2 linked regions of the Sus scrofa genome follow. The protein of the gene in region 2 purifies or fractionates together with the protein of the main gene of each other region. This does not show direct contact. Links are inferred from orthologs where the notes say so. Each region holds a gene or a part of one and is shown on either strand. Other genes may lie near its edges.

Region 1 (3,806 bases), on a different chromosome or scaffold from region 2:
ACCCAAACATGGTATTATTGTAGAGCCACTTAGAAAATCCTCTGAAGGGTTACAGACCTCTAGGAACATGTCAGATCAGTCTGACTGCGTACTTACTGAGCTGGATGGTAGCTGACATGTCACAGTGAGTTACCGTGAGTTACAGGGTACAGGGAGCCCGATGCCCTGCTTGATTATTATACTTGCCAGCCCTTAGGCGAAGCATGTTTATTTTCACAATTTTAAGGAGCATATATATCAACATGTTATCCTCACTCTGGGGTCAGTTAACTGGGGTGCCTAGTGGATTTCAGGCTATGAAGGAAAACAGAATGAAGAACACTGGTTGCCATAAACCCAATCTTTCACGTTAGTAATGAGGCTTCCCATACGTGTTGCTCATGCAGGACCACAGCAGACATCCGACAGCCTTGGCAAACAAGGCCAGGCCAATCTCAGAATGTACCTACCCGGAGTGACCGAGACAATTACACCTGGAAAGAAGCTGGAAAGTGCATCTGAACTACTCAAATGCTAGGGAAAGGGAGAGAAGGAGAGAGAGAAAGAGAGGTCGTCCATGCTCTGGTTAGAGTGACTTTTGAAGACACTGCAGGTGAGGGTGCGGGTGAATAAAAGGGTCAAAGGTGCCACAGCAAAGGGAAACAGTTCACAGCAGCAGGAGGGGCTGAGGAACATCAGAAAACATTATCCTCTTAGGAACACGAAGGGCTCACTTCAGATCCAAATCACCTTCCACCTGGGTGTTAGCAGAGACATTCACAACAGAGGTTCGCGAGAGAAATTTCCACAACACCTGGAACTTGGCAGCATTGGAAACTAGTGTCTTAAGAGCCCCTCGGATTCCTAGAGAGGCACCAAACAGGACTGGCTTCTAAGAACCTGCCTGGGACTGACTAGCGGGCGTGGGTCACAGGCACTCAGCGTCCCCCACAAACCTGCGAAGAAGGAGGCACTGCGGCTGAGCGGGAGTGGTCCTCCTTCGGCCGCCCCCCGTGACAGCTTGCTGCCACATCCCTGCAGCACACCTGGGGCAGAGACACACACGGGTGGGCAAACAAGGTACACACACAAAAATAAACACAGATTAAAGATAATGCCGAAAACAACACGACACCACCAACTCAAGTAAAGCACAGCGCACGCCCGCCACAGTGATGCTCGGCGAGAAGGAAGCCGTCCATGCGGTGGATTTTACCTAAGTTACTTCCAGTCCGACAGGGACCCAGGTTGTTGTGATTTGTGTTCAGTTTCCCCAAGTTAGGATCTTGGTTGATGTATTCAAAGCTGTCCTGCAGGCTAAATCCAGAGGGAGGAAGGGAGAGAGGAGAAAAACATCAAGAGACGGAGAAGGTTGCTTGCTAACGGATACAGACACCCTGACAGTTGGTCAGACTTCTCTTTATAAATAAAGTCTCACATCTACCAAAGGAAAGGAAACTTTATGGGAATCTGCTGGAGGAAAGGACAAGTAAGGCTTTGGGGAGTACTTCAACCTATAAAACTAAATAACATGTTCCAAACAATTTTATATTATGTAAGGGTGGGGGGAACACTGAACTCTACACATCTTGCTTTGGAAAATGACACCCAGGATATTTACATAAACCTTCAAAGTCAAATTCAGTTTAACCCTGAGTTAACATCTAAAACTTTTTTCAAGAGGAACATGTGACAGAAACTATGATTCCTATAGGAGCTTGACTTCACAACTTCTAAAAAACTACAATCACAAATACACATATGAGAGAAGCACATTTTAATAATTTATTGTATTTACTAACAAACAAAAATTTTGAGAATAACATAGCATCCTGAGGCCAACATAATTTTTACTTATATCTGACCTTAATATTTTATTGGGGGGGTTGTATAAATGTTCAGGGAATATCAATGGTCTGAAAAAGAATATCTCACAAAAGATAAACATCAATTCCTATACTGGCGTCAGTCATGACCATCCAGTGTTAAATGTTCAAATAAGTAAATTCATGATTCCATTGAAGAGTCACCAGATTTACTCAGTGGTGCCCAAATCTTCAGAGAAACATGCTTTCAAATTCCCAGGACTGTAAAATTAGCATCCTTCATGTGACCCCTAAGAATAGCCCTTTAACTGACAACAAACATTTCTTTCAAACTTACCTACGTATAACAAATGTTTTGCTGTTTCATTAAAAAAAAAAAAAGGAATGTATGACATATTTCTGCTTGAAAAATTCAAAATATATGAAAAAATGTGCTAGAATAAGAGTTAAGTTAGGCATTTAAGTATTTTCAGATTACAAAGAAGTGTAAAACAAAGGGGGGTGGAAATTCAGGAGGAAGAATCAAAATATCACCTGGCCCTAGCCCCTACCAGCCACAGAGGCTACTGGACGGTAGAGAGATGGCAAACACAGAACGCCCCTCCTGCCACTCAGGAGCCCCTTGGCCTGAGAACCCCACTCTGTGCGTCACTCCTTCAGAAATAAACAGACCAACAGACTAACAAATGAGAATTTTTTTTTTTTTTTTTTTTTTTTTTTAATGGCCACACTCTCGGCACATTGTTCCTGGGCCAATCCAAGCCACAGCTGTGGCAACTCTAGATCCTTTAACCTACTGCTCTGGGCCAGGGATGGAACCCACACCTCTTCAGTGACCTGAGCTGCTGCAGTCAGATTCTTAACCACTGTGCCACAGCGGGAACTCCCAGATGAGGTTTTTGTTTTTGTTTCTCAGGGCCATACCCGAGGCATATGGATATTCCCGGGCTAGGGGTCAAATTGAAGCTGCAGCCGCCAGTCTACACTATAGCCACAGCAATGTGGGATCTGAGCCACATCTGCAACTGACACCACAGCTCACGGCAACACCAGATCCCTGACCCACTGAGCGAGGCCAGGGATCAAACACGCATCCTCATGGATACTAGTTGGATTCATTTCTGCTGCACGACAATGGGAACTCCTAAGGTTTTTTTTTTTTTTTTTTTTTAAGGTAAAATAATATCATAAGCTCATAATCACATAAGCTCATTACTGTGGCCTCTCCTTTTTCCCTTCCCCTTTTCATTTTCTAGGGAATGAAAACTTGGTGAACGTACCCAAAATATATGCAGAGACAGTCATTTGTCTCTAGGGCTACCTGATAAGGTCCAAGGCCTTTTCACACTCCCTATGTGTGGGACAATAGCCACTTTGAAAACCCTTTTGTTGATGTAGACTCATTCTGCATCTCTTCTCAAAAAAACCTCCTGGCCCCCAAATAATGACCCCATCCAGAAACAGCCACTTAGGAAAAGGGGGGTTGGAGGGTGAGGGCAGATACAAAAGCCCAGACTTACTTATTTGTACTCCCGCAGAAGCTGCCCATTCTGGCTGAGAAGACTTTACTAATCATCAGTTGTGGAGGAGAGCTGGAGACAAACAGAAGGGCAGAGAGGGAGAGACAAGAGTTTGATGAGAGGGTGGGCACCCCAGTCTGTGTCGCATGGCTGCAGAAGCTGCCCCAACTCACCGGATATAGTGTATCTTCAGGGTGGAGCCCTTGTAGCTCATGGCGACAGAGCCGAACATCATCTCACCCAGCATGTTGACGTCGGAGGCTGGCCGTGTGTACTGGTGGCCGGGAAAGAAGCCAACATCGCATCACCAACAATGTGACAGAAAATGACGTGCATACCAGCTGGTATTTGATAGCTATTTCTCAAAGCAGCAACTGATCATTCTACAATCTTAACCTATATGTTGCCTGCCTACTTTCCCCCAGATTATTACCGGTATGTGTGATTTCTTCCTTATACACAATATCCTCAGACAGGACCC
Region 2 (3,806 bases):
CCCCGACTACGGCTAACGGGAAGCACGGCTGTGAGAGAAGGGGCTGAGCAAGCCCCGAGCGGACCCTACAGCACACGTGGCCCAGGCCTCCAACCAAAGGCAGGAAGTCGGGGTGGCGGGGTCTAGACGGAGAAGCCTGCCGCACGGTCCAGCGCCTGTGCGGGGCGCTGACCCCACCACACAGTCCGCCCAGTGGCAGGGCCCGCAGAGGGACCGCGGCCTGGGCTGTGTGGCCTTATCGGGCCGCTTCACTCATCTGGACGGATGTGACTGCGGCTCTACGGCTGAAACGACACAACCAAGACTCGCTTTAAAAAAAAACTTAGGCGCTCCCGTCATGGCGCAGTGGTTAACGAATCCGACTGGGGACCATGAGGTTGCGGGTTCGATCCCTGGCCTTGCTCAGTGGGTGAAGGATCCAGCGTTGCCGTGAGCTGTGGTGTAGGCCAAAGACGCGGCTCGGATCCCGCGTTGCTGTGGCTCTGGTGGAGGCCGGCGGCTGCAGCTCCGATTCGACCCCTAGTCTGGGATCCTCCATATGCTGTGGGAACAGCCCAAGAAAAGGCAAAAACACTCACACACACACACAAAATCCTAAGGGAGTTCCAGCAGCTTAGGGAACTGACACTGTTATTATAGGGGCTCAATTCACTGCTGTGGCAGGACGTTTTATACGCTGCAGGCGCAGCCAAAAAAAAGAAGATAAAGAGGAAAAAAAGAGAAAGGATTGAGAGAAAAGGCGAGAAGAAGATCAAAGGGCAGTAAAGATGCAGGGAGCTGCTAAAGCTGGACAACGGGAGCGTCCAGCTCTTTGGGCTGCTCGTTACACGTGGAGTCCGTGTGAAAATTTCCCTAAATAAAAGGACACTTCTGACAAGTAAGTCCTTGAGTGCGGCTCCTGAGAATCTGCAAGCTGAAGAGAAAAAGAATCTTTCTGCCTCACCTGACCTGGCTCCTCCTGCCTTTTCATTTTTATTTTTTGCTTCTTAGGGCCGCAGCTGAGGCATACAGAGTTTCCAGGCCAGGGGTGAAATCGGAGCTGCAGCCACCGGCCTCCACCACGGCCACAGCAGCGCAGGACCTGAGCCACGTCTACAACCTACACCACACTCCGTCGCAACGCCAGATCCAAGCCTTGCGGTGACCTACACCACAGCTGATGACGACAGCAGGTTCTCAAGCCACTGAGTGAGGCCAGGGATTGAACCTGCGTCCTCGTGGACGTTAGCTGGGTTTGTTTCTGCTGAGCCACAATGGGAATCCCCTTCTTGTTCTCTCAAAATCGTTTTATTAGGAAGAAAGACAGGAGGAACTGTACGCCAGGTGCTCCCGCCTTAGTGTGCAGGTTCTCGGGAGCTGCACTCAGGGGTCTACGTGAGAGGAGCCTCCACACCAGGCCCTGACGGGGACGCTGCACACGGATGCAGGTCGGGGGTGGGGGGGTCCCTGGAAGGAGCGCAGCCTGCAGCGGGAGGAGGAGAAACCCCCTGCGGCCCGAAAACAGACCGGGGTGGTCTCCAAACACGCCCCCAAATCTGGCGACGCTTCCCCCTCTAAAAGAAGGGGACAAGCCTTCTCCTCCCGCCAGGCAGCGCCTAGCGACAGGGGCACACTGGTGACAAACAGCGCGTGCACGAAGCACAGGGGGCTGCTGGGGTCGGTCCTAAGAGCAAGCAGGTCCCATCCAACTGCCCCACACAGCCGGCGACGACACGCCAGCCTCGAGAGAAAGCAACTCCGCTGAGACCAGGCGGGGCTCCTGGCAAGTGCAGACCCCCAGGCTGTGCAAGACCAACGCGCCCCGCTGTTTACGAGAAAGGGGAGACTGCTCGTCCTGGCACAGAAACATCACTTTGAAAAATCCACTAGGGAGCTCCCGCTGGGCCGCAGCGGCCGGGGATGCTGTGGAGCCTGGGGCTGATCCCGGGCCTGGGGCAGCGGATGCAGGGACTCAGCAGGGCCGAGGCTACAGTTCAGTCCCTGGCCCGTGAACTGCCAAGTGCCACAGGTGTGGCTGCTCAAACACAAAACACATCGGGAAACCAGTCCCACCTAAATGCGACCCGGCCCCCCAAACCAGAGCACAGCCCCCCCGCCAGCTGTGCGGGGCGCGTTACCAGGCGAAGGAGGTGTGCAGGCAGGCCCAGAGGCTGTCGTCGTCGGTCAGGGAGGTCAGCGAGCGGGCGGCATTGCCGTTCCTCTGGTGCAGGAACGGCGTGAAGGCCGTGTTCATCCTCTGCGCGCGCTGGGGGCACCCAAACTGCTCCGCCTCGAACACCTGACACGCACAGGGAGGGTCAGAGCCGGCTGGGCGCCCGGGCGCAGCTGGCACCCCAGCCTGGAGGCGGCTGCCAGACCCTGGCGAGCACAGCAGCTCTGCCCACGGGCGCCGGAGACGAGGCTCGGCCGGGAAGCTCTCCTGCAGCCGCCCCTGCAAGGGTCCCCCCCTCACGGGCCGGGGAGGCTCCCCCTGCTCAGAGCTGCAAAGGTGGAACACGTGACCGCCCAGGGAAAGGAGGGGCCAGAGGCGCGAGGCCTCCACCCCACCCCGAGCCTGGCAGCAGGCAGAAGCAGCAGGACTTCGGCCGAGCCGACCATCGACCATCTGCCCCGCTGCCCGCGCCCCCCCCGCCCCCCTCCTGGCCGACGGCTGCAGAACATCAATGAGACTCGAGCTTGTTATCAGAGCGCCACCGGCCTGTCCTGAGCTGCAGCCCTGCCGCCGCAGGTGCACCTTGGCCGTGGCTCTGCAACCTCGGGCACACAGGCCGCCAAGGTCACGGCCAGAGACGGCAAAGCCAGCGGGGACAAGACCAGAGCTCCGCCTGCAGCAAAGTCAGAGTCCAGGGACCAGAACCAGAGACTCGAGAGCCCGTGGAGGAGGAGGCGCCCCGCGCCTCGGCCGGAGCCCCGGCCCCGGTCACCTTGAGGGCCTTGCCCTGCAGCTCGTCGATGATCCCTCGGACCCTGCCCAGCAGGAAGGGCCAGGAGTTGATGAGGTAGATGCGGTCCATCATGATGGCGATGATGCTGTACCAGCGCTGGAAGCCGCGGGCCAGGCTGTCCTTGATGAAGAAGGTGTGGCTGAACACGAAGCCGTGCTGCTCGTCCCCGAAGAAGATGGGGCCTTCGCGCCCGGGGCAGACCTGCGGGACGGGGACACCTGCTCCGGGGCGCCGTCCTCGGCGAACCCCGCGGAGAGCGGGAAGGGCGAGGGGACAGAGGAAAGGGGCCTCCTAGAGGTGACATGCGACCCTGAGAACCGCGAGGGCCGGCGGGCTCCCGCCTCCCCCCACCTCGAGCCATAAACCACGACGCAAGGTCGCAACCTCGCCCCGCGGGGCCACCCTGGAGTGCTGGCAGGTCTACACAGCCGCGCAGCGACGACCGTGTGACAAGACTTGGAGGAGACGTGGGCCTCGCTCCCGACACCCCGCCCAGCACACACCCACCCTGAGCAGGGGAACAGGGGGCAGCAAGGCGGGCACACGGCGCCCAGGACCAGCAGCGAGGGAGCCTGGTGTTTCTCAGCAGGGGTACCCCGCGACAAGGAGCGGCTGCCCCCAGACTGCATCCTCTGTGACGAGGACACAGGCTAAGGCGGGAACACGACATCGGCAGCTGCGTATCTGAGACGTCCCGACCCGCGCCAGGCGGCTCGGAGAGCACACAGCGACTGACGGGGACGAGGCGGGGAAGCGACACCGGACGTGAGCAGCGCGTCCGTGAACAGCCGCTCCCTGAGGGCCGGGGGCTTCAAGCGCCAAGCTGGCCACGGGCCAGCCTCCACCAGGGCAGGGCGCACG

Evidence for each region.
Region 1: the proteins of FLCN (region 2) and FNIP2 purify together in Homo sapiens (affinity purification with western blotting; 5 studies listed by BioGRID and IntAct, with this or other methods). This does not show direct contact. The link is inferred for Sus scrofa from reciprocal best matches to the Homo sapiens genes FLCN and FNIP2.

Annotation. Positions count from the first base shown.
Region 1 is NC_010450.4:47,775,578-47,779,383, reverse strand, and holds part of FNIP2 (folliculin-interacting protein 2), read right to left. Parts: intron 3,600-3,806; coding exon 3,499-3,599; intron 3,398-3,498; coding exon 3,326-3,397; intron 1,297-3,325; coding exon 1,196-1,296; intron 1,026-1,195; coding exon 936-1,025; intron 1-935.
Region 2 is NC_010454.4:61,035,639-61,039,444, reverse strand, and holds part of FLCN (folliculin), read right to left. Parts: intron 3,147-3,806; coding exon 2,925-3,146; intron 2,279-2,924; coding exon 2,118-2,278; intron 1-2,117. UniProt on the Homo sapiens protein: Multi-functional protein, involved in both the cellular response to amino acid availability and in the regulation of glycolysis.